Diceros bicornis minor: one gene and its partners. The protein of the gene in region 3 purifies or fractionates together with the protein of the main gene of each other region. This does not show direct contact. Links are inferred from orthologs where the notes say so. Each region holds a gene or a part of one and is shown on either strand. Other genes may lie near its edges. The genes, in order: GNL2, GTPBP4 and LYAR.

Region 1 (8,078 bases), on a different chromosome or scaffold from region 3:
CTGCCCCTAGGGCAAGACTGACCTTCCAACAGACAGAGGTCCCCCTGACACATGGGTTTCAGGAGTTGACTCGGTTTAGATTTTTTAACGTGACATTATTCTTCTGGAAGCAATCCAATGGACCTAGTTAACATTTTTAAAAAGTGTTTTCCTGAGGAAAATGGGGGAGGTGGGCAGGAGATGAGGGGTAAAGAATTACACAAAGATTTAGTCTAAGGGCTTAAAAATCAAAAGGATCATTGGACAGATAGATATCAAGTGTAATAGGAAACACACTGATCCTGGGGAGATGACTTAATATGGGCCCTCCAGCCTTCTTGGAGCTTAAACAATTATCTACGATTTGGAGTTACACTTCAAATTCCCACATCGGTGTGTGTTCTGGATCCATTTCTCAGGATGCAGCCAGCAATCTTGAGTTATCTAAACCAGGCTGAAAATTAGAGGCCGTTAACAGCATCTCATAAAATTGCTTCTCAGATTTTCTTAAGCAGAATTTGCTGAGGACCACAGGGATTCAGTAATAGGAAGGAGCAAAATGCTGCTAGTTATTTTTCCAAAGCTTAATCTAGGGATCTTTTTGAAGAGCTCCTTACCCAGCAATGAGATGAATGCCAAGACCAATACAGACTATGTTTTTCCCACTTAGAAGTGGTGACCAGATACATTATCCATGAAGAAGTTTCTTGGGGTTCCCAGATGTGAGTCTCTTAGCCACTTTTCATAGCTACCCAGCCTACTATCTTGCTATATCCTTGTCCAAAAAATTCCCAGGCATCCTAGACTGAAAACTAGACTGAGGGCAATTTGGCCAATGAAGCTCCAATTTAATACATCTTATTTTCTTATATTCCCCTGTAAACTTTTGAGGTTGTATGACCAAGGACTCTCTCTTTTTGTTTTCTACAAACAAAATTAAAAAACAAAACCCTGAAAACATATTCTGAGTACTTCTCTGTTCTCCTAGGATCCCAGAGCCTCTGCTTGGGGGCTAGTAACTGTTTCACATTGAGCAACAGCCACTCCAGGGGCCCAACTCTTGGCCCCAGCAGGCAGGGGTCAATGCATTGTGAATTTGCCAGAGGATAGACACAGGAGACTGAATAGAGAAGCCTCTGCTCTCTCAGTTCAACAGGGAAGGATAAATCAACAAGCTGGCACTAATTAAGAGCTAATGGCCTTACAATGGAGTGTTGCCAAAGGATAACGACCCTCCGGCTGCAGCATAAATATCAAGGCATTTGGGGTAGAGCCAAGACATATATTTTCAGAGTGCATAAGACGCTGCTGCAGCCTTCCTCACCCTGGCTCTGCTGAGAAAAAAGAGAGGATTTAAGACAGGTGGAGAAGGAGCTAGGTCTTATTAGGGCTGCCTTCTGGTCAGCTGGTCAGAAAGCCTGAGGATGACTTTTGGGAAAGACTTTGCTTTTCAGAAGATCTCAAACTTTTGTGTATACAAGAATCACTTGAGGAGCCGGTTAGAATGTATATTCTTTGGGCCCCACCTCCGGAAGGTCTGATTTAGGTAACTCTGGGGTGAAGCCCAAGAGCCTGCATTTTTAACCAATTCCCCCAACTGATTCTGATGCTGGGGGTCCTCAGAGCACACTTTGAAAACTGCTACTTTAGAAGCTGCTTCTACTTGCCCATTAGATCCCAATGAAGAAGTTTTTACAGAATGAAGCGAAGTCAAGATTCTCTTCTCCCTGTGAAAACACCAGTCCATTCTTTCCTTTTAGAACTTGGCACAAGGCTGTTTCAGAAAGGTGGCATTTTGAAGCCGACCCGGTGGCATAGCGGTTAAGTTCACACGTTCTGCTTCGGCGGCCTGGGGTTTGCCAGTTCGGATCCTGTGCGCAGACCTACTCACCGCTCCTCAAGCCATGCTGAGGCGGCGTCCCACATAGAAGAGCTACAACTCTTCAACTATGATACACAACTATGTACTGGGGCTTTGGGCAGAAAAAAGAAAAAGAGAAAGATTGGCAACAGATGTTAGCGTAGGGCCAATCTTCCTCAAAAAAAAGAAAGAAAGAAACGTGGCATTTCGAGCCAATTCCTGTTGGGGTCTTCCCATTCACACAAACCTGTGGTTACGAGGAGCAAGGTTCCAGGGAATGAGGAGCTAACCATAAGTCTGGAGGAAAACAGAAAGCATCCCATCTACATGGGGTGTACCATTTCTGCTATGCTTTCTTACAGCATAATTCATATGATCACGCTGCAATCTTTCAGCGTAGTTAAATTAATATATCTCTTCTAAAGCTGAGGAATCATAGGCCTGGAGGTGTGTCTTGCTTCCTCTGGTCACCACATCAGGAAGGAGAGTGAAAAATCTATTACAGGGCTGGCCCCGTGGCTTAGTGGTTAAGTGCGCGCGCTCCGCTGCTGGTGGCCCGGGTTTGGATCCCGGGCGCGCACACATGCACCGCTTCTCCGGCCATGCTGAGGCCACGTCCCACATGCAGCAACTGGAAGGATGTGCAGCTGTGACACACAACTATCTACTGGGGCTTTGGGGGAAATAGATAAATTTTAAAAAAAATTTTAAAAAAAACCTATTACAATTATGGTCAGCAGGGCAAGCAAACCAAATCAGTAACTTGAGTTTGACCTACCTTGATCAGGCTTATTATCAGCTGGTAGAACTGAGGTTGGTTGTCGGGATCAGCCATACTGTTGTAAAAGGATTGATGGGATTGATGGCTCAGATTATAAAAATAGACGGAAAGTTCATATGATAAACGCAAGCTGAGTATGAGAACAGGAGAGAAACAACGCACCATATCATCTGGGAAAATGAAACTCCTTGGCAAGACTTCACAACAGCCTGATTCAAAATTTCATAATGAAATTATGTCTCTGATCAAAGCCTGAATGAGCTCATGGGCTGATTTTTGCCATTCGTGTTTATTCTGGTTTGAACCAAACTGAGGCATCAGAAACACATTATCTTAGTTTTTTCTCCGGGAGTGGGCCATTGCATCCTCCTTTGGGGGACCAAAGGGACAGTGTGAGGCAGAAGGGGGCATCTTTGGATCCTCAGTGGGCATGAAGTTGTTTCTGACCAGCTTTCAGAGACTCCCTCAGACACCGTGTTAGGTTCAGAGCCTTTCTAGCAAAATCGTGTTAAATTTCACGATACTTGCCCTTGGGGCAATAAAAGTCAATCTCAAGGGAGAGAAGGTATTTCCCCCTGTTGTCTAGGACATGGCCTGCTTTTGCTCTAGAAAGAATGTTTTTCGGTTTGTTTGTTTCAGACTCAGAAAAATAAAGACTCAGTCATCCCCCCACAATTAGAGTTCCTCACTTTATACTAAGTTGTTTGTTTTTACGGAATGGGCTACACCACAGGCTGGAATCCACCTTCTTCCTGCCTAACCACCTCTTCTCTGGACTTAGGCACAGTGATGGGCATTTCCTGACAACTTGAGGTGCCAAAAAAACAGAGAGGGCTTCTTGGTTGAAACACTGGCATCTAGAGAGTTTATTTTGACTAACAGAAACAGAAATTTCTGGGTCTTACACCCTTGTTTCCCCCTCAAGGCAAGAAGCATTCCCATCTGCTATTGATTACATGTTTGTGTTCCCCTAAAATTCATATGTTGAAGCTTTACTCCCAATGTGATAATATTTGGAGATGGGGCCTTTGAGAGGTAATGAGGTTTACATGAGGTCATGAGGGTGGGGCCCCCAGCATGGGATTAGTGACTTTATAAGAAGAGGAAGAGACCAGAGTCCTCCTTCCTCTCTCTGACATATGAGGACACAGTGAGAAGACGGCTGTCTGCAAGGCAAGAAGAGAGTTCTCACGAGGAACCCAACTGTGTGGGCACCCTGACCTCGGACTTCCCAGCCTCCAGAACTGTGAGAAATAAATCTTTGTTATTTAAGCCACCCAGTCTACGGTATTTTGTTATAGCAGGCAGAGCTGAGACACCATCTATTCATCATTCATTCAATGAATATTTATTGAGTCCTTACTATCTATGTGTCAAGTGCTGTTCTAAGTCTTGAAGATACAGCAGTGAACAAACTTACAAGGTCCCTGCTCTCAAAAAGCTTATATTCCAGTTTTGGGGAAGCAGCTGATGAACTCGTAAATAACAAATTTCAGCTAGTGATAAATGCCATGAAGTAAATAAAACAGAATAATGTAACAGCATAACTGCAGAAGGATGGGAGATGGCTGATTTAGACAGATTAGACAAGAAAGACTTCTCCCAGTAGGCAGAGTTGCCAGATAAAATATAGGATGCCCAGTTAAATTTCAATTTCAGATAAACAATGAATAATTTTTAGTATAACTATGTCCCAAGCAACATTTGGGACATACTTATACTCAAAAAAATTTCATTGTTTATCTGAAATTCAAATTTACCTGGGAGTCCTGTATTTTTGCTAAATCTTGCAACCCTACCAGTAGGTGACATCTGAACTGAGAACTGAACCACCAGAAGGAAGTAGCTATGCCAAGAATCAGGGAAAGAGTGATTCAGGCAGAGGGAACATCCAGTGTAAATCTCGGAATAACCAGAGGGAGGGAGGTACAAATGAAGTCAGATAAATAGCACGGGCCAGATCATGCAGAATTCTGTAGGGATGGCAAGGAGTTTGAGTTTCTTTCTCTCTGTCTCTGTCTCTCTTTTACTCTGAGTGATGATAAATTATTGGAGTTTTAATAAGGGTGCCAAGATCTGATTGATTTGGCTGCTGTGTGGTCAGCCACTTTTGGAAAGACTTAGAGGATAAATTCATTAGATAATTAAACTTAAGCTTGTGCCATTGGCCTGGGAAGAGGTTTCTGTGTTTGGGGCGGACCGAAGTAGGAGCTCTGTGCCGAGCGTCCAGGGTGACTAGGCGGTTGCTATGGAGGGGCAGCGTGGCGGTTGCTAGGGAGAGAGGAGGGCGGGGGCTCGACGCAGGGCGACGTCTAAGCGGCCGGGGCGGGGGCGGAGCCAGGAGTGCGGCGGCGCGCGGCGCGCGTTCGCAGGAAGTCGCGCGGGGGCAGGAGGGGGCGCGAGCGGAAGTGACGTAGCACTTGCACACGTGGTCCAGCGTGCTTCACGCCGGTCGCTGTGGCTGGGCCTGGGGCGTTACGAGGTTTTTTTACCTTTTTTACCGTACGTAGGTCGGACCTAGCACTCGGGTCCCCGTCGCGGCGGCAAGATGGTGAAGCCCAAGTACAAAGGACGGAGCACCATCAACCCGTCGAAGGCCAGCACAAACCCCGGTACAGGCGGCGGGGCTCGCGGAGGGTGGAGCTTGGAGGAAGCTTGCGGGGAGGGCTCCGAGGAGACCGAGGGGGAGGAGGGACACCCGGGTGGCATGGCTTGGAGTGACCTCAAGCAGAGTGGCTGTTGGGGATGGGAAGGGAGAAGATGGTTTCTTCATTCGGAGGCACTGAGGAGGGCCGACATCTTGCACGCCTGTCAGGGCTGGGTGCCAGGCACCGAGTCTGAAGTCGGAGAGAGGGAACGCTCAGGCCTGGCAGCCTTGGGGCGTCTCCACTTGTGAGATGCAGAGACTGGGAAGCTCTGAGTTGGAAGGGGCAGTTAAACTTGACCTCTTCTTTTGTTCCTGTGTGGGTCGTGTTGAAGCCCCTCCCCCAATATATGTCAGTCTCGTATGATTCCAGCTCTCCAGCTCAAGGCTTGCTAGAAGTGAATTAGATCAAGTTGGATTAAAAGTGGTGTAGGCCGACGCAGCTGGCTTTTTACACTTGACCACACTTGCTGCCACCTTAGCTTTGACAATTTAAGTGAGAAAGGGATTGTTAATTTGGCTCTTGGAGTCATCCCATCGGGTCAAGTGTGTGGAAAACCCTACAGATAAATAAATAAGATCATTTCACTGAAGATGTTTTTGGAGATGTTTATGAGTTTTGTTGAGGTTCCACCTACAGGTTGAACAAGGTGGCCTTTGGGGGAGTCCCTTCCATTTGGGTTTAGTTAATAAAATTTTGTTTTTAAATATGGTTTCAATTTTTTATGGCTTTAATTCATGTTGAGTGTTTTCCCTGGATTGCTGATAAATTACTCAATTTGTGTAGACTGGAATCTTAGAATGTTAGACCCGAAAAGGTCCTTAGAGATCTTGATGTCAAAGGTGAAGAGACTAAGCCAAAATAGGGGAAGTGGCTTGTCACAGTTGGCATGGTTAGTCAGTAATAGAGCCATCAGTCCGGTGATCGCAGCCTCTTTTCTATGACATCACTGTAAGAGTAGACAGGTGGTTTGAAGGGATCCCCACATGAGGCTGGTTTTACGACACTTGTCCTTCTCTTTCTCTCTGAGATGTAAGACAAGAATTACTACCTATTTTGCTGTTGATTAAACTAAAATCAAACATTCGGAAATTAAGAAACTAGTACATTAGAAACACTTAGGTATCAAGATTGTAGTCTCCAGGGTGCCTTGCATGTAGCAGGCACTCAAAATTTGTTAAAGTGAGATCCAGAGGTGGATGTCTTTGTGGTTCAGAGCACAGGTGGTGATCAAATGCTGTTGTTCACATTCTGGCTTGCCATTTGTGACTTTGGGCAAGATGTCTGGCCACTATGCCTCAGTTTCTTAGCCTGCAGAATGGGGATAATGTATCCCTCTTTATAGGATTATTGTATGGATTACATGGGATGAGACCTATAATGTGGATAGCACAGTGCTGTAGTTAGTGCTCAAAAATATTAGCTCTTATCATTATCAAACACAGTCTTATTGAGGATCAAAGGTTAGATCAGCTTTGTCATACCATGTAGCTTCCAGTAATAATTTTTTTGGAGCAACATATGGAGGAAGTAGAGATTTTGCAGTGAGGTGGCGGCTTGCTTACTTTGAGTGAACTAGTTGGTGTGTTTGAAGCAACGACCGTACTTAGACTTGTTGGTTATCAAATGGTGTGCAATCTACTTCTGGGTTCCCTAGATCGAGTACAGGGAGCAGGAGGCCAAAACATGAGGGACCGGGCCACCATCCGGCGCCTGAATATGTACAGGCAGAAGGAGCGCAGGTGAGTACTGGGTGCTGGCATCCTCCCCCCTCTGCTTCAAGCCCTTGACTGAATAGCTGAGGCCTATTAAACCTATGATATTCCCACTCCCACTTTCCCCAAATACGAGTAGTGTATTTTCAAGTATCATTTTATATGGGTGTTATTATGATAAATTGTGAATTCTTGGTTAAAGACATGAGTAGTGGGTGGAGAAATTGTGATTGTGTCACAATACAGCAATTAGAGGTCTTGTTCCTTACAGCCTCAGCCTCCACGAATGGCATATTAAATCTCAAGTTAGGTATCCGTCAGATGGAAATCTGGTTTTCTTTAGTGAAGCATATAGGACTGTAGTCATGAAAGCAGCGAGAGAACTTGTTTTTTAATGCCAGACTTTAGATCACAACATTGTGGCACTTGGAAACTCACCACCAATCTGCGTTCTGCTGAGGCAGCCTCTACCACGGGGACTTGCTGAGTGTGGCATTTTTCTAGCTGGTCTTAATTTGTTTGGTAATTAGATTCTCCATCCGTTCTAAAAGATGTGTCTAAAACACAAATGTCAATGAACTTAATCTGCCTTAGTCACCTGCTCTGCAGTTTGTTTCAGAATTTTGAGTTCCAGCACAAATCACCCTCTACTTAAAATTCATTTAAACCAGCCTTCAAATAATTACCCAAAAAACTCACGTATGTGATTTTTTTTTAAAGCTAACAAACAGTAAACAGATTTTTAAACATCAGCTTTATTTGTTATTCATCCAGCAGAAATCGTTACGTGCTCTGTTGCAAGAGGTTAAATGGCTTTTGGGCAATCTGTTTCAAATGTAGAAGTACTTTTTGTTTACTGAAATCTGTATTTCATGATCCTTTAAAACCAAAAAAAGGAAAAAAAAATCCTTTTGATGGAAAGGGTATTCTGTAAACCAGACTTTGCTGTTGTTGCCTTTCTTCTGTCGTCAACCAAAATCTGTCATTTCCTCCATTTAGGAACAGTCGTGGTAAAGTGATTAAGCCTCTGCAATATCAATCAACAGTGGCTTCTGGCACAGTGGCGAGAGTGGAGCCAAACATTAAATGGTTTGGTG
Region 2 (7,374 bases), on a different chromosome or scaffold from region 3:
ACACACGCTGCTCAGCCCTCCTGGGTCTGCCTGCTCCTCAGAGACCTCACACTCTAGACTTTAGTGCCTCTGCACTTGCTATTTTCGTGCCTACAGTGCTCTTTCCCCAGATAACTGCATGGCTCACCACCTCAGTTCCTTCAGGTCTCTGCTACAATCGCCCTGCTCAGGCACTCCCTATTCTCCTTTCTTATCTGACACACTATATAATGTCATGTTTACTAGACAAGGATAGAAACCTTTTTTTTTTTTATTACTGCTGTATTCCTAGTGCCTAAAACAGTATCTGAGACACAACAATCATTCAATGAATGGTAACTTACCCTAACCTTCTACCCTAAAGTGATCCTCATATAACTAACTCTAATTGAAAATAAATAAATAAACAGAATGTTTATAAAGTTGAACCTCTAACATAAAAAAAAAAAACACCAAGAATGAAAAATGTAAAATTTCTTACAAAGAACCACAAAAATATGGTACTAATTAGGTCACGATATTTTCTGTTTGCTCAAATCAGGTGCTTCCTAATACCAAATCAGTTTAGAATAGCCTCATTCTTCCGTCTTTTTTCATTCCCAGGTACTTTCTATGGTACTAGCCCTTTCCCAAAAAATTATTCACTCATCCAATAAGCAGCTATCAAGCACTTGTGTCAAGTCCTAGAGAAATACATAAGATAAGTGCCTGTCTGCTAGCAGAACTGACTTATTATTGTATTTTTTTAAATAGCCATTATTACCTTTTTAAATATAAAAGAAATTCTTGTCACATAAACCAACTTTTTCTCTCTGCCTTAACCCACCTTCAGGGACTATTTCCGGGCAGTGGCAAATTTAGGCTCTCACACTGTACTGCTGACCCCATGTCCTTCACCACCTCAAAGAACCTTGCAACTGTGTGACCCCTCACAGGGACTTCATAAGCAGTGTCTGCTCCTGCCCTCCATAGCTCAATAAATGGGCAAACTGCACTATGCAGCAGAGTGAGGAATTCAACTTGTTCAGCTTGATGTATAAGTCACAGCTCCCCACTTGATTTCTTCTTGGCAGTGAAGAAAGTGGTTGGTACTGAACTGACTGTCGACGGCTGATAAAGCAACAAGATCACAAACAGTATGGACCTCAGGCCACTGATCCAATGTGAGCCCACAAGAAAAGGAGCCTTGGAAAAGAGGGAGGAGAGGAAGCCCAGACGAGCTGGTGAGCCACCAGAACCCCAGGCTCCTGGATTCACAGTCCTCAGCTAAAGAGCTTGGGTTGGCCCCGCAAGCCTAGAGGTTGCAAAGAAAGCTTGAGGAGATAGCTTTGGGCCCTCTTAGATGGGGTTTAGTTGGGGGAAAGGAAGAATACTAAGGAATCAAAAAACCCGTGTTCTGTTCCCAGCTTTGCCACTAACTCACTGAGTAAACTCTGACAAGTCAATTATTTTCTGTTTCCTTCATTATCTGTCAGATAAGTAGACCAAACTGGTTAAACATCGATTTTCTGAAGGCTCACATTTACATAACTATTTGTATCCCTTGGAGTCACTTACATCCAATTTGGGGAAATCCGTTAGAATCTGTGAGAGTCTGTCATGGTAATTCTGTTGAGTAAACTTGACTTTTCTCATGTAAAAATGTCTAATGCGATGAATTTGGTAATGTTTATGAATAACTGTTGGAGTCTTTCGTTGAGTCTTCGACAATGTCAGGTCAATAAAGTCCTGCGATCAAATAAAATAAGACACAGTTACATCAAACACATCTACTTTCCATGCACTTACTTGAAATCTTAAAAGACTAATATCTAACACTACTACACATTTTAAACTACAAACACTTTTGTTAACTAAATCTTTAGTCTTCTATATACAACTTTGTTCATCTTTTACACTGTCTGGACTTTAAAAAACATTTAGCAAATAGCTGCTGAAATAAATTTTATCCCATATGTTCTTCATGTTATCTTATTTTCTAAATACCTAAGAACCTTTGAAACTTAAGTAGTCAGATAACTCAAGCATAAATCAGAAGAAATATTAAAAAAGAAACAATCCTACAATTTTGATATGCATATCCTTGACTTTCAAAGCATACAAAATAATTGGTAAAATTAAAACCCACTGCTTATAATCTTCTAAGATATGTAAGCTGACTGTCTGAGGATGTACAGGATCTCTGTGTGAATTCCCCAGCGCCAAGAGAAACTGGCAGACAGCGCCTACAACACTGTCAGCACTAGGAGGGGCACAGACATCACGCCCCGAGATCTCCACACCCTCTCCAGCTGGCAGACTCCACGGACCCTCAAGGCTTCAGTTCAAAAGTCACCCACTTCATCAAGCTTCCCCTGACTCGCCCTCTTCCCTCAGGAGTGACCGAACCCGGGAGGAAGGACCCCTAACCCCCCAGAGCCCTAACCTCTGAAGAAGGACCCTAACCTCTGAGGAAGGACCCCTCATCCCGGGGGACCCTAACCTCTGAGGAAGGACCCTAACCTCTGAGGAAGGACCCTAACCTCTGAGGAAGGACCCTAACCACTGAGGAAGGACCCTAACCTCTGAGAAAGGACCCTAACCACTGAGGAAGGACCCTAACCACTGAGGAAGGACCCTAACCTCTGAGGAAGGACCCTAACCTCTGAGAAAGGACCCTAACCACTGAGGAAGGACCCTAACCTCTGAGGAAAGACCCCTCATCCACGGGGGCGCCAACTTCTGAAGAAGGACCCCCTCTCCTACGGGGACGCCCCAATCCTCTGAGAAAGAACCTAAACCTGAGGAAGAACTCTAATCCCGGGGGCCCTAGCCTCTGAGGAAGGAGCCCCCACTCTCCGGGGGGACCCCTAACCCCGGGGGACGCGGCCCGGGAGGCGGGGCTGGCGAGGCGGCGACCCCTCTCCCAGCCCAGCATCACAGGCCCGGCCCTCCCGCGACCGGCCGAGGGTGGTTCGGGCGGAAGGCGCCTCAGCCCCTACCTTGGCGGACGGCACCACGGTGATCTTTTTGAAGTTGTAGTGCGCCATGCCGGCGGTCAGACACGAGGAGCGGCGGAGCAGGCGGGCGGACTTCCGCCGGATACGCGTCACTTCCGGGCGGCCCCGGCGCCGCCGCGCACGGCTTCCGCGTCGCACGGCGCCCCCGCCCGGCCCGGAGGTCCCCCGGGGCGGTGTCTGGGCGGGGTGGGTTGGGGGCCCGCGGGGCGTGGGGAGGACGCGGAGGGGCGGCGCGGACGGGCACTCCGTGCGGGTATAGGTGGGGTCCCGGCGGGCCGTCCTGGGGGCCTGTGCTGCCCGCCCTGCCCGGCCCGGCGGGTTACGGAAGCTCGGGGAGCTCGGGGACCTCCAGTCTCGGGGCCCGCAGAGTCTTAGGGGCCCGGGAGCCGTGGCCGGCGGGGGCGCGCGCGGCCCCGGGGTAAAGCAAGGGCGGAAGTGCGGGAGCGCGCGCGCCGCCTCTTGACCTGCTAACGCGGTCAAGTTTGGTCAAGTGCGGAGCGCGGCGGGACACGTCTCCACCGGCCGGGCCCCGACCCCGACTCCGACCCCGGACTGCGTCTCCACCGGCCCGGCCCTGACCCCGACCCCGGACTGCGTCTCCACCGGCCCGGCCCTGACCCCGACCCCGGACTGCGTCTCCACCGGCCCGGCAAGGCTTGACGGCCGCAGGGTGAGGCCAGGCCCTGCAGAGCCCGCTGGCCTGTCCAGTGCCGCCCGAAAGTCACCGCGCTGTGTCTTCGGATCCCTACATCGGGGCGTCCGCTCCCCGCCCAGTCTGAACCGTCAGCCTTCCTGGGACCGAGTCCTTACACCTTCTGGCGTTTTCGCAGTCGTCGCTCTCCCTTGTTCCCATCGCCTTCAAACCCTCCCGTGAGGTGGTGTTCTGGCTCTGGTCTTAATATGTCGGATCCCCTGTTCTTGGCTCACTCACCTTCCTACTGTCTCGTCCTGACTGGAGCTACTCCTCCTCTGTGCCCTCCACCTCTCCAGACTTTCTATGGAGATTTTGCTCAGCCTTTCCGGGGTCCTTCTCTCTTTGTGGTAGCTTCGCTGGTTGCCTTGCATGGATGACTCTGATGAAATACACATTTCCAGCTTGACTTCTCTCTCCATTCCAGCCTGACATTTCCAGTCAGTTCTGAAATACCCACCAGCATGATGTCAGATGTGTCAGATGCAGCATTTCTGAAAAGCAAAAACCCTCCTCACTGTGTGAGTGCTGTGGGAGAGGGCAGCGGCCCTGGCCGCCACTGAGACTCCAGAACAGCAGGGAGCCACGAGCAGGGCTGACCTGCTGCGCAGAGTCAAGCACTGGTCAAAGCAGTTGACCAAATACTAACTCATTTAATTCCTACAACGACCCTAGGAAGTGGTGGGGAAGCCTAGGCACAGCAGGGCTGGTAACCAGCCCATGGTCACACAGCTAATAGGTGGCCGAGTTGGAGTTTGAGCCTAGGTGGCCTGCCCAGCGTCTCTGCTCTTAACTGTTAGCTATTTCTGCTTCTCAGTGATCTTGCATGCACCCTCAACTCCTTTTAACAAGTCCTATCATTCTTACATGAAAATGTCTCAAATTCCCAACATTCCAATATCAAAAATAATCTTGAATCATGATTCTCTCATCTATGATTAACTATACTGCCCATTTTTGTGTCATCAGCAAGTTAATAAGCATCCCTCCTATGTCTATGTAGCATTCCTAAAGGAAGCCTCTGGGATCATTAGCATTCCTTGGCTACAATCGTTTGCCAAACCACAGGACAGCTCTGTGCACGGTTCTGGAGATTTGCAAAGCTATGCTCATGGTCATCACTCTTCCTCAGCTACCTGTGCACTCCTTCAACCCCACCCACACCCCTCCCTCTTATATGGCCAGGTCCTCCTCCTTTTTCTTTCAATCCAGTATTTAGATGAGTCCAGTCAATCCTTGGCTTCAGGCAGGCAACTATTCTTTCTCTAGCTCTTAGCTCTAGGCAATAATTGAACGATTTCTTACATTTGTATAGGACTTTAACATTTACAAAGTGCTTTACTTTTTAGTATCTCAATAATATTCCCAATAACTTTCTTTTTTTTTGAGGAAGATTGGCCCTGAGTTAACATCTGTTGCCAATCTTCCTCTTTTTTTTTCTTTTTTCTCCCCAAAGCCCACAGTACATAGGTGTATATCCTAATTGTAGGTCTTTCTAGTTCTTCTGTGTGGGACGCTGCCTTAGCATGGCTCGATGAGCAGTGAGTAGGTCTGCACCCAGGATCCGAACCAGTGAACCCCGGGCTGCTGAAGTGGAACGTGCGAACTTAACCGCTGCACCACCGGGCCAGGCCTCCCAACAACTTTCTGATGTGATGCTAAACTAAGATTAGAGGCTTGCTTCTCTCCAAGGTCACACAGCGCTACATGGCAAATGGGAGTAGACCAAGCTGAGGACCAGGTCTTTTCAGCCATCCCATAAATACAATTATTTATATAAATAGTTTGTGGAGGGGACAGAATTTTTTTTAAATGCTAATAACATAAAATATCAACATATGCTATTTTCTTGATTTTATGCAGAACAGTTGAAATCTACTTGTTCATACAGAGCAGAAGAGAAATCGTTCATTTAAAAAAACCAAAAAGAGAACCCTTGACAAAGAGAAAGTATATTAGAGAATAAATGTGAGAGGATTTTATAAATCCTATCAATGAAAAACTGACACGTCTTTGGTATTTTTACTATTCTCCCAAGAATTTGAAATCATATTTGCATAAAACACTTAATAAATGCTTGCCCTGGTGAAGAGTCAAAGGCCGGGGTTCACATTCCAGCTCTGCACCTCACAAGGCACGGCACGTGAGCTGCAGCAAGTGACTCACCCCCTAGCCCTGCTTGCTCCTGTACAAAATGGGGGAAATAATGCCTACCTTCAGAGGATCGTTTATGGTGGCTAATTATGCAAAAGCATAAGGCATACAGTAAGAGGTATTAATGTAATGACTATCAATAATAAAATTTTATTTGAAAACGTTATCGCGTCAGTACACGGTAATGATCTGAGCATTGCCATAAAGTGTATTAAATGCCAAATTTCTTATCAGGAATTCTCAGTTCCCAAGTGTGGCAGTAAAATCATCCCTTAGAGAGCATGGTTGTGCAGAACCTGACTTATCTGTTAGCTTTTCAAGCGACAAGAATCAGCCCATGAAAAGAAGAGATATATAACACCCTCCTCATTGTGTATCTAAGGGTGTGAAATTGGAAAAGGGGTCTGGGAAAACAAGACCACTCCAGGGAGCTATCTGCTTTCAGTTGCTCAGCCACGAGGCATGTCTGTGAATGCATAAGCATCATGACTCATCGCGAGCCCAGAGCTATACACTCATGATGAGGTACCAAGCATCCCCCGCCACCTGCGTGTTGATGAGAAGCAACATTCTTCCCTCTTCCACTTGCGCTCCCTGGCTGAGTGCAGCTTTCTGGGGGCAGGTGTGTGTCCCAGACCACCAAGAGGAAGCCACTCGTTTGTGAATGTGCTGCTGGACTCTGGAGGAACCAGGCTGTTGGGGGCCCTTTTTGAGGAGAGTTGGAAAAGCCCCTGCAGCAGAAGGCAAGTCACCGGTTCTTGAGCTGATTTTGACCATGTTGTCAGGTGTCCAGGTACCAGGACTCGTCAGAGTGTGAGCCTTGTGACAGGAAGGTGAGCCTCGGCTATGGTGCAGGACATTCTCGAGGGTGTGCTGCAGTGCTCTCTGGTGACTTCTGACTGTCAGAGCACTTCACAGCCAAAAGGCTTATTCTTCAGACCTCTTTATGTTGTGGAATTGGTCTCTGTTTTACTCTCCTGTTGCTATAATTCTGATTAATGAAAAGTACATCATGCAGCAGAATCTGTGCCAGGGAAATGTGACCAACTTCTTGCCTAGAAGGAGCCTTTGTGTGGGGATTAGTCACTTAGCCACAGGTAGCTGTCTGGTATTCGAAGGTGTTAGGACCACTCCAGTGCATCTGTCGGTCACTTCCTTGGGTGCCCACCGAAGCTGTGTTCTGGTCAACTCATTTAGCAGGAATGACTGGCTGCTTTGGGCTGTTTCCTAGATGTTCCCCTGGGTCCGTCCCATTTCCCAGAGAAACAGCCTCTTCAAGGGCAGGGACTGTGTCTCGTCCTTTTCCCATTCCTCACAGCAAGCAGCATGGCCCTGAGCATTCAGGGATGATTGTGGAACTCGACTGATTGAACGCTGGCCTAAGTAAATTCCTGGTGCAGTCAGGGCTGTGACATTTGAAATCGGGCTTCTGTCCTACTCAGGTAGTCCCACTCATTTCACAACTCCTGCTGTACCACAGGGAAGAAAGCTGCACTGGACCTCTAGCTTAATGACAGCCAGGGCAGATGCCTCAGGCCCTGGGTACTTAGA
Region 3 (7,591 bases):
ACTGTGGAGGTCTATTCTGTTTCTGGATCCAGGGGGCGGGCGGAGGGGAGGAAGGTTTCGGCAAGCTTGAGATCCAGTGGGGAGACTCAGTCTGTCATGAAAGGTCAGGAATTAAAGGCCTGAGAAGGACAGCTGAAAACAAAATTTATCAGCAGAAAGAAGCCAGTGATGTTGACAAAAAAGATGCTCGGAGTATCTGTGCAAAACGTGTCATCCCTCTGGGGATTAACCACACACAGTGTAAACATCACCTCAAGAGAGGATTAGAATGTGGTCACATGTCCATTGGAGAAATACCTCTCCAACCATTTTCATTTGGTCTTTTGTGGCGAATGTTCACATTTAGAAATTTGTTAAGTTTTTTTAAAGGCAGAATGGGTGGCTTGCACAGTAAATCAGAACTCAGTCTCTTGGTGCCTTCCTCTGGACTTTCAGAGCCATCGCTGCATTTTTACACTTGATCTGAAACGGGGACAGTGTGACCGCCTGCTTGCTAGTGAGATACGGTCTGTAAGGAGCTTATCCCTCCTTATTCAGAGCCCAGAGGACATGCCACCACCAGCCAAGAGTCACCTTGATTACACTTCACACCTGACCTCCCCCGAGGAAACACCTTTCATGTAAGCAGGAAACACCGCCGTGTGTGTCTACGGGGGTGGGCCGTGAACCGCAAGCTCAGGATCCTCCTAAGTGCATGGCAGACGGGGTGTCCCCAGCGTCAGTGCAGGCTTAACAACGTCAGAAGCGTAATGCTACAAACTTACAAACAGATCCCACCTGAAAATTCAGTCCCTCCAACTGATGATAGCAAGCATTGCCTACAACAGAAGATTAAACTTATTCAGATTTCACAAGACTAAATAAATATCAAAGAAATTTAAATAAACTTTCAAACGATGTTTTTAGTAAATCTGTAACATTTATACTTCGGAAGTTAGAAAAGCTGAAAACATGCTGCAGTAAGACTTTTAGGACACCTTGTCTCCCAGGCTCAGATGTCGTGCATTTCATGACCTTCCATTTGAAATACTAGGACCCTAAGTCTTCATCCTAAGGCCGGCCTGTACCGGGCAAGGAGACCACCGTGTCTCAGCAGAGGATGTCTGGTGTTGCACAGTGATGCCGAGCTGAGGGCAGCAGATAGCATCAGTAAGGGACTGGGAACCTGTGAAGGAATCCAGGCTCCTCAGTCTCCTCTTAGCAAGATGGTGGCCAGGTTCTGTTGAACTGGGCCTGGACACAGGGCCAGAGGATCTGAGGTGGAGCCCATATCTGTCAATTCAAAACTAAATGACCTCGAGGTACCTTAACTTTCCAGCATCTGTTTTATCTGTAAATTGGGTCTAACATCTATCTTGGAGCATTGAGTGGAAAGTTAAAAAAGATACCAGATGTGCAAGATTCATCCTTACTCAATAGTAGAAAGAATTTCCAGTGACCTATTAATTACACATCAATACGATTGCACCCAGTCGCTTCCCAAACTCATGCTTCTTTAAATATGACCCTCAATCCACTGTCTAGCTTCATAAATTCACTCCAGTCTCCTCTGGATCTCCAGCCCACGGGAGCCTACGCCACCGCCCTGTTCCCTGATCACATCAACTCAGGTTTGCTTCTGGGATTATATCTGGAGTTATTTTTTTACCTTCCTCCCTATACATTTTGGTGTTTATTTTTTTACAAAAACTACGTTAACTATTCTTAAAATATTCTCTCTCACACATACACAGACCTAAACCCCATCACCGCTCACCTGAGGGGCCAAGCTGGCAACAGCCCCCAGTGAGCACTGTTACCCTGAGCAAGTTACTGTCCCCTCTGAACTTGAAGTTTTCCCATCTGTGAAACAATGGGTCGGGCCAACTGGACCAGCCCTGAGCCCCTTCCAGGGGGTAAAATTCCAAGAAACCAAGGGTATGGTGAAAGGGAAGGACACACAAGTACACACTATCCCCCATCCTGCCTAACCACCTGAATGTGGGGGCCATGACAGTCGCGATATGCATTCACCCTGGACCTCTCCCCTGCTCCCTGCAGAAGCCCTAGGAGACAGGCACACCTATCTCCACTTGACAGAGGAGCAAACAGGCTGGGAGAAGTTAAGCCACGTCTCTACCCCTCCACCTCACCCACAGACTCCATCACCAGCCTTGTTTTATCAGCATCCCTTTGCTGGTGGAAAAACCATCTGTAGAAGTCTACCACCTGTCAGCACCACGCTGAGCGCTGGAGACGGGGGGTGCAGTGTGACTAAGTGCCAGGTGGGCCCTCTCTGCAGGAAGTCAGCCTTGCAAATACGCTCCCCCTTGCTCCCCTCCCTGTCTCCTCAGAGGCAGATGCTGCAGAAAATCCCGACATTTATTGAGCACCTACCACGTGCCAAGCCGCGTCGTAGGTGGTAAGACGTTTGTGCTCACCTAATCCTCCCAACAGTCCTCTGAGTTGGGTTCTATCTTATTCCCCTTTGACAGACGAGGAAACTGAGGCACGAAGAGCTTAAGTAACTTGCAGCAGGTCACACATCCAGGTAGTGGCAAACCCGGATGCACACGCAGTCATTCTGGTCCTAAGTCCGTGCTCTCAACCCCTATGCTCTAAGGCCTCCTCTTTGGGGACCGAGCTCCCCAAGACTCGGGGAAGACAAGAGCCTTGTCCCCAGCATACAGCAAGCCTGAAGCCCAGGCCGGCCGCGACCAACCACCCTGGTTTGCCCAGGACAGGGGGGTTCCCGGCACGAGGGCCTTTCCGTTTAAGATCGGGAGGAACTGGCCACCCCGAATCCAGGCCTCTTTCCACCCCAGGGCACGCATAAGATCTGAGCGGATTTCCTCCTGCCCTGCGTGCGAGCCGAAGCAGGGGCTCTAACGATGGAAATGCGGCAGCGGCCTCCCTCCCGCCCGGCCTCCCGAGTCGGATCTCTGGGCCACCCCCTCACCTCTCGGCCACAGCCCGCCAACGGTTTCAACCGGCCGCGGGGAGCACGTGGAATCGCCGCCTCCCGCCCCACGCGGCCACCACCTCCCTCCCGAGCTTCCCGGCGCCGAATTCGCTTTGGAGCCTCCCCGCGCGCCTGCGCGCCGCGGCCACACCCCACCCCCCAGGAGGAAGTGACGCCGCCGGAAGCCGGAGGGCGGGCCCGGCCGGCCGTGGGGGCGTTGCCGGGATGGTTCCGCGGCCGGCGGAGGCCGGCGAGCGGCGCTGAGGGAGGGGACGGCAGGTGAAGAGGTCGCGGCGGGGCGAGGAGCGGCCTCCGAGGGTGAGGGGGCCGCCGGGCCGGGGGGCCGGTCTCGCGAGGCCGGGCGGGTGCGGCGCGGTGGGAGCGGCCCGGAGTCCCGGCCGAGCGCCGGGGCCGGCAGGGCAGGGCCGCCGAGGGCCGGCGGGGAGCGGTGGGGTCGGCGTGAGGTGACCGGCGAGGGCGCCGGGCGCGGCTCAGACACCGGGTGCGGTCCCGGTCCCCGTCCGGGCGCGGGGCCTGCCCCTCGAGCGGCTCCCGCGGCCTGGACGCCCCCCGGCGCAGCTGGCCGGCTGCTCGGCGCCCCGACCGCCCGGGTGCTGTTCCCCGCCGCCGCCGCGGCCGCGCCGCGCCCGGGTGCCTCGGCCGCCCCGGCACCGTCCCCTCACGCCGGCCCCCGCGCGTCCTGAGGCGGGGGCAGCGGGGGACATGACGCGCGCGCGCCCGGGGACGGGGAGGCGGTCCCCGGGCACGGGCGGCGTTGGGCCTGCGGCGGGGTGTCTGGGTCCCGCAGGCCGGGGCTGACGACGCTCACCATCCCCACCCACGCTCTGGCCGGGCTCGGGGCGCTCCCCGGGCCGGCCGTGTCCTCGCCGCCCGGCTTCCCCTGTGCGGGACGCCGCTGGGGTCCCTGTGTGTCCCTCCTGCCCTCACAAGGACGCAGCCAGGTGGGGCCAGCGACCTCCTGTTAGCTCATCTCCTCTTGCGAGGCCCCTCTCCGGATGCAGCCGCACGCCCGGGGGCTGGGCCTGAGCACTTCGCGTGTGAATTTGGGGGACAGTCCAGCCCATGGCAGAAGAAGTCAGCGCAGTGGACAGGGAGGGACGTGTTTTCCGAGAGGGGACAGCACGGCCACCGGGTCGGAACGCAGGGCGCTCGCGATGCGGTTCGTGGGCCGGGCGCCGCGCCCGGTTCCTGCCGGCGCTTCCGCGTCGGTGCCGTTTGATCCCCTGCAGACGCGCGGCGAGCTCCCGTCCTCGTCCTCGTCCTCGGCGGACTTCACGTTCGGGTCTCAGCGCAGGTGTCCTCCTCCGGGAAGTTGTCCCTCTCCCTCCTCCCCAGATGAGTTGCTGCTCCCCGTTCAGCGTACCCTGGGCCGGGGCTGTCCTTGCTCCCCCTGCGACACTGACGCCCCGTGAAGGCGTGGATGGCCGGATCGAGCCGTTCACCGTCGCGTCCTCGGTGAACATGACACAGTGGGCGCTCTGTGAAGTCGCTGAGTGACGGGGAGACCGAGACCAGCCGCTGGAGGGCGGGGAACGGGTGTGGTTCAATTCTTCAGCATGCCGTCCTCACCGGATGTCTCCGCAGATTAGGACACGGTGTCAGCTTAACTGAACTGGCCTGCCTGGGTGGGAGATCATTATAGAGGAAGACAAGGATCCAGGCTTGTCTGCTGGAAGCCACTGCTTTTGTCGTTGGGGTTGGGGTGGGGTGGGAATAAGCCATCTGAAAAACATGGTGGCCAAAGAGGAAGGGAGGACCACTCTCAGGCAGGCTTGGTGCTGAGGGGTGTGAACTGCGGACCCTTGGAGAACTAATCTGTTGATGGCCTGCTGAACAAACTTCCCCAGATTCTGTCCTGTGGTGTTTGACCGGTTGAGGAATTGCCCTGCAGAACAGAAGGGCCATTGCTCTAGGAGCCCTCTCTGTAGGTTAAAATTCCGTTCTGACTCTTGTTCCCTTTAGAAGCACCTGTCATTCACATCTGTCTAAGTTTGTTCTTGTTCTCTTTTCCTATATTTCCACTCTTTTTGATGCCAGTCAGTCTGTCTTTCCACCATCACATTCCTGGTATAGGTTTGTAGCACTTAGAACAGGAAGATACCTTAGAGAGTATCTAACCCAGTGGGGGACGTTTCCATTTTTATAGATGAGAAAACTGAGCCCCAGGGTCTCCATCCATCCAAAAACTGTTTGTTGAGGACCTGCTGTGTGCAGGGCACTCTTCTAGGTACCAGAGATAAGCTGACCAGTAACACAGATGTAGAACATGTCTTGCCACCGAAGATTTTTGCTCCTTGTCACAAAGTGAGTTAGCTGCAAAGTTGGAAGAGAGCCCTGTGCTCCTTGTATCACACCAGACCACCTGTGTGCCGTGCATTAGTCCTCAGTGTGCTGTGCCGTAAGGTGCTTATCTGTGGGGTTACCTGAACAATCAGGCATAGGCAATAGACTGAAGAAGCAACTGATTTGATCCAAGGAAAGCCTTTGATCTGTCACATGTAACTTGAAGTAGTGGGTAAGCTGTGGGCTTTGGAGTCAGATTTCCTGGGTTTAAATCCCAACTCGGGCTGGCCTGGTGGTGTATTGGTTAAGTTCAGTGTGCTCCACTTCAGCGGCCGAGGTTCAAGGGTTTGGATCCCGGGCGCAGACCTATACCACTAATCAAGCCATGCTGTGGCAGCAACCCACATGCGAAGTGGGGGATTGGCACAGATGTTAGCTCAGGGCCATTATTCCTCAAGCAAAAACAGGAAGGTTGGCAACAGATCTTAGCTCAGGGCCAATCTTCCTCACCAAAAAAAAAACAAAACAAAACTCTGCCCCTTATTGATTATCCCTTACTTATTAGCTGTGTGACCATCCTCTCTGTACCTGATCAGGTTATCTATTGCTATGCAACAAACTACCCCAAAACAGTGACTTAAAAACTATTTTATTTTATCTCACATTTTTGTGGGTCAGGAATTCAGGCAGGGCTCTGCTGGGCAGTTCTTCAGCTCCACATGGTGTTGACTGGACGTGGTATTCAGCTTGAGGGGGGCTGGGCTGGAGAGTTCACTGGGGCTTTGCTTCTATATCTGGTACCTGGGAAGGGGTGGCTGGAAGGCTGGGGTCAGCTGAGTCTTTCTCCTGCTCCCTGTGGCTCTCCATTTGGGCATCTTACAGTCTGACTGCTGACTCAGGCCTTCCAGGGCCAGTGTTCTGAAAGGTGGAAGGTGGAAGCTGTCAGCTCTTAGGTCCTGGGCCCAGAGATGAGCACAGCTTCACACCTTTGCTTTTGCCTGTTCTACTGATTAAGGCAGAAGCTGCTCAGGTTCAAGGGGAAGAAACCTAAATCCTGCCCTTAGGAGGAGTGTTAAAAAAGTTGCTCTCATCTTTAATCTGCCAAGTGCCTCCATGTCCTCATCTATAAAATGAGGATAGTAGTAGTAGTACCTATCTTACAGTTATCCTGAGAATTAAATGAGTTAATATGTATAAAGAACTTAGAATAGTGGCTAGCATATAGGAAACATTTTATAAATATGTGTTATTAGGTGCAGGATACATTATTATTTATAGTTGTTATTCATAGGACACATAAGAAATATAAGATGCTGATTCTTTTTCTGGAGCTTTTTATAATCTTATTGAGGAAGTACAGGATTGAAGTCATGAAGCAATTAGAGAATTACATTAAATAATATAGAATAGTTAAAATTTTTATGGTCAAAGTAAATTGTGGAATGGTTCATAACTTTGCATATCATCATAACTCTAAGAGTCATTCCAAAGAATTTTTCCTCTTTATCACTTGTATATAGCTAGAAAATATCTAATGTAGATTCAGAATATTTGCTGCATTTTAACACTTAAGTCTATGGAGGAAGGTTCTGTGTTGTGTTTTTTAATGTCCTTTTCTCATGGAAGATAGCATAGACTCCAGGGTTTAGGAACCAGGATTTAAATCTTGGCTTTGGAACAAAACAGTTTTACAGTCTTGGGCAAGTTACCTAAAATCCCCATTTCTTAATTTCCTCACTTGTAAAATGGTCGTAATAGGGTTCTTGTAGCATTATTTGAGTTAATGGGTATAATGTGCTTAACACAGTGCCCAGCCTGTAGTAAGCAGTCAGTAAATGATAGCTAATAATAATAAACCAGGAAGCCTTTTCTTTTCAGGCAACCAATGGGGCAGGGGTAGGTAACTGATTACTCAATCGTTTGGTTGTTCAGTACCTTTGAGGACTCAACACTGGGGACAGTGCTCCACCGCCTGACATAATGCTTCCGTTTCTGTGTTCTTGGGTTGGTTAATATTATCCACTCCCAGTGTTTCAGTGTTGCTCTGTAAAGATGACATCATCTCTGGTCTCCATTTTCTCTGAATACCACTCTGATTTCAAAGCAGGAGGTCATGCCAATGCTCCAAACTCAACATACCAAAAACTAAGCTTTCCGTAAAGAAATAGGGGAACCATAAGTATACAGCTGGGAGTGAGATGATGGGGGAGGAGTGTTGGAGATGCTAAGTTGAGGGGTCTTACAGTTGGAGATGTTTAGCAGAAAGTTGAACATTTGGAACTGGTGGTCAAAGCTAAAGTTTCAAATTGAGGAGTTGTCTGCTTAGAACAGATGAAGGCCAAGAAT

What was found.
Region 1: the proteins of LYAR (region 3) and GNL2 purify together in Homo sapiens (affinity purification with mass spectrometry; 3 studies listed by BioGRID and IntAct, with this or other methods). This does not show direct contact. The link is inferred for Diceros bicornis minor from reciprocal best matches to the Homo sapiens genes LYAR and GNL2.
Region 2: the proteins of LYAR (region 3) and GTPBP4 purify together in Homo sapiens (co-immunoprecipitation; 3 studies listed by BioGRID and IntAct, with this or other methods). This does not show direct contact. The link is inferred for Diceros bicornis minor from reciprocal best matches to the Homo sapiens genes LYAR and GTPBP4.

The regions. Positions count from the first base shown.
Region 1 is NC_080752.1:51,627,537-51,635,614, reverse strand, and holds the start of GNL2 (nucleolar GTP-binding protein 2), read left to right. Parts: upstream 1-5,054; 5' UTR 5,055-5,169; coding exon 5,170-5,233; intron 5,234-6,923; coding exon 6,924-7,008; intron 7,009-7,980; coding exon 7,981-8,075; intron 8,076-8,078. UniProt on the Homo sapiens protein: GTPase that associates with pre-60S ribosomal subunits in the nucleolus and is required for their nuclear export and maturation.
Region 2 is NC_080775.1:998,970-1,006,343, reverse strand, and holds the start of GTPBP4 (GTP-binding protein 4), read right to left. Parts: upstream 3,063-7,374; 5' UTR 3,009-3,062; coding exon 2,961-3,008; intron 1,708-2,960; coding exon 1,537-1,707; intron 1-1,536. UniProt on the Homo sapiens protein: Involved in the biogenesis of the 60S ribosomal subunit. Acts as a TP53 repressor, preventing TP53 stabilization and cell cycle arrest.
Region 3 is NC_080747.1:7,201,052-7,208,642, reverse strand, and holds the start of LYAR (cell growth-regulating nucleolar protein), read right to left. Parts: upstream 3,046-7,591; 5' UTR 2,939-3,045; intron 2,891-2,938; exon of another isoform or gene 2,421-2,890; intron 2,399-2,420; exon of another isoform or gene 2,377-2,398; intron 1-2,376. UniProt on the Homo sapiens protein: Plays a role in the maintenance of the appropriate processing of 47S/45S pre-rRNA to 32S/30S pre-rRNAs and their subsequent processing to produce 18S and 28S rRNAs. Also acts at the level of transcription regulation.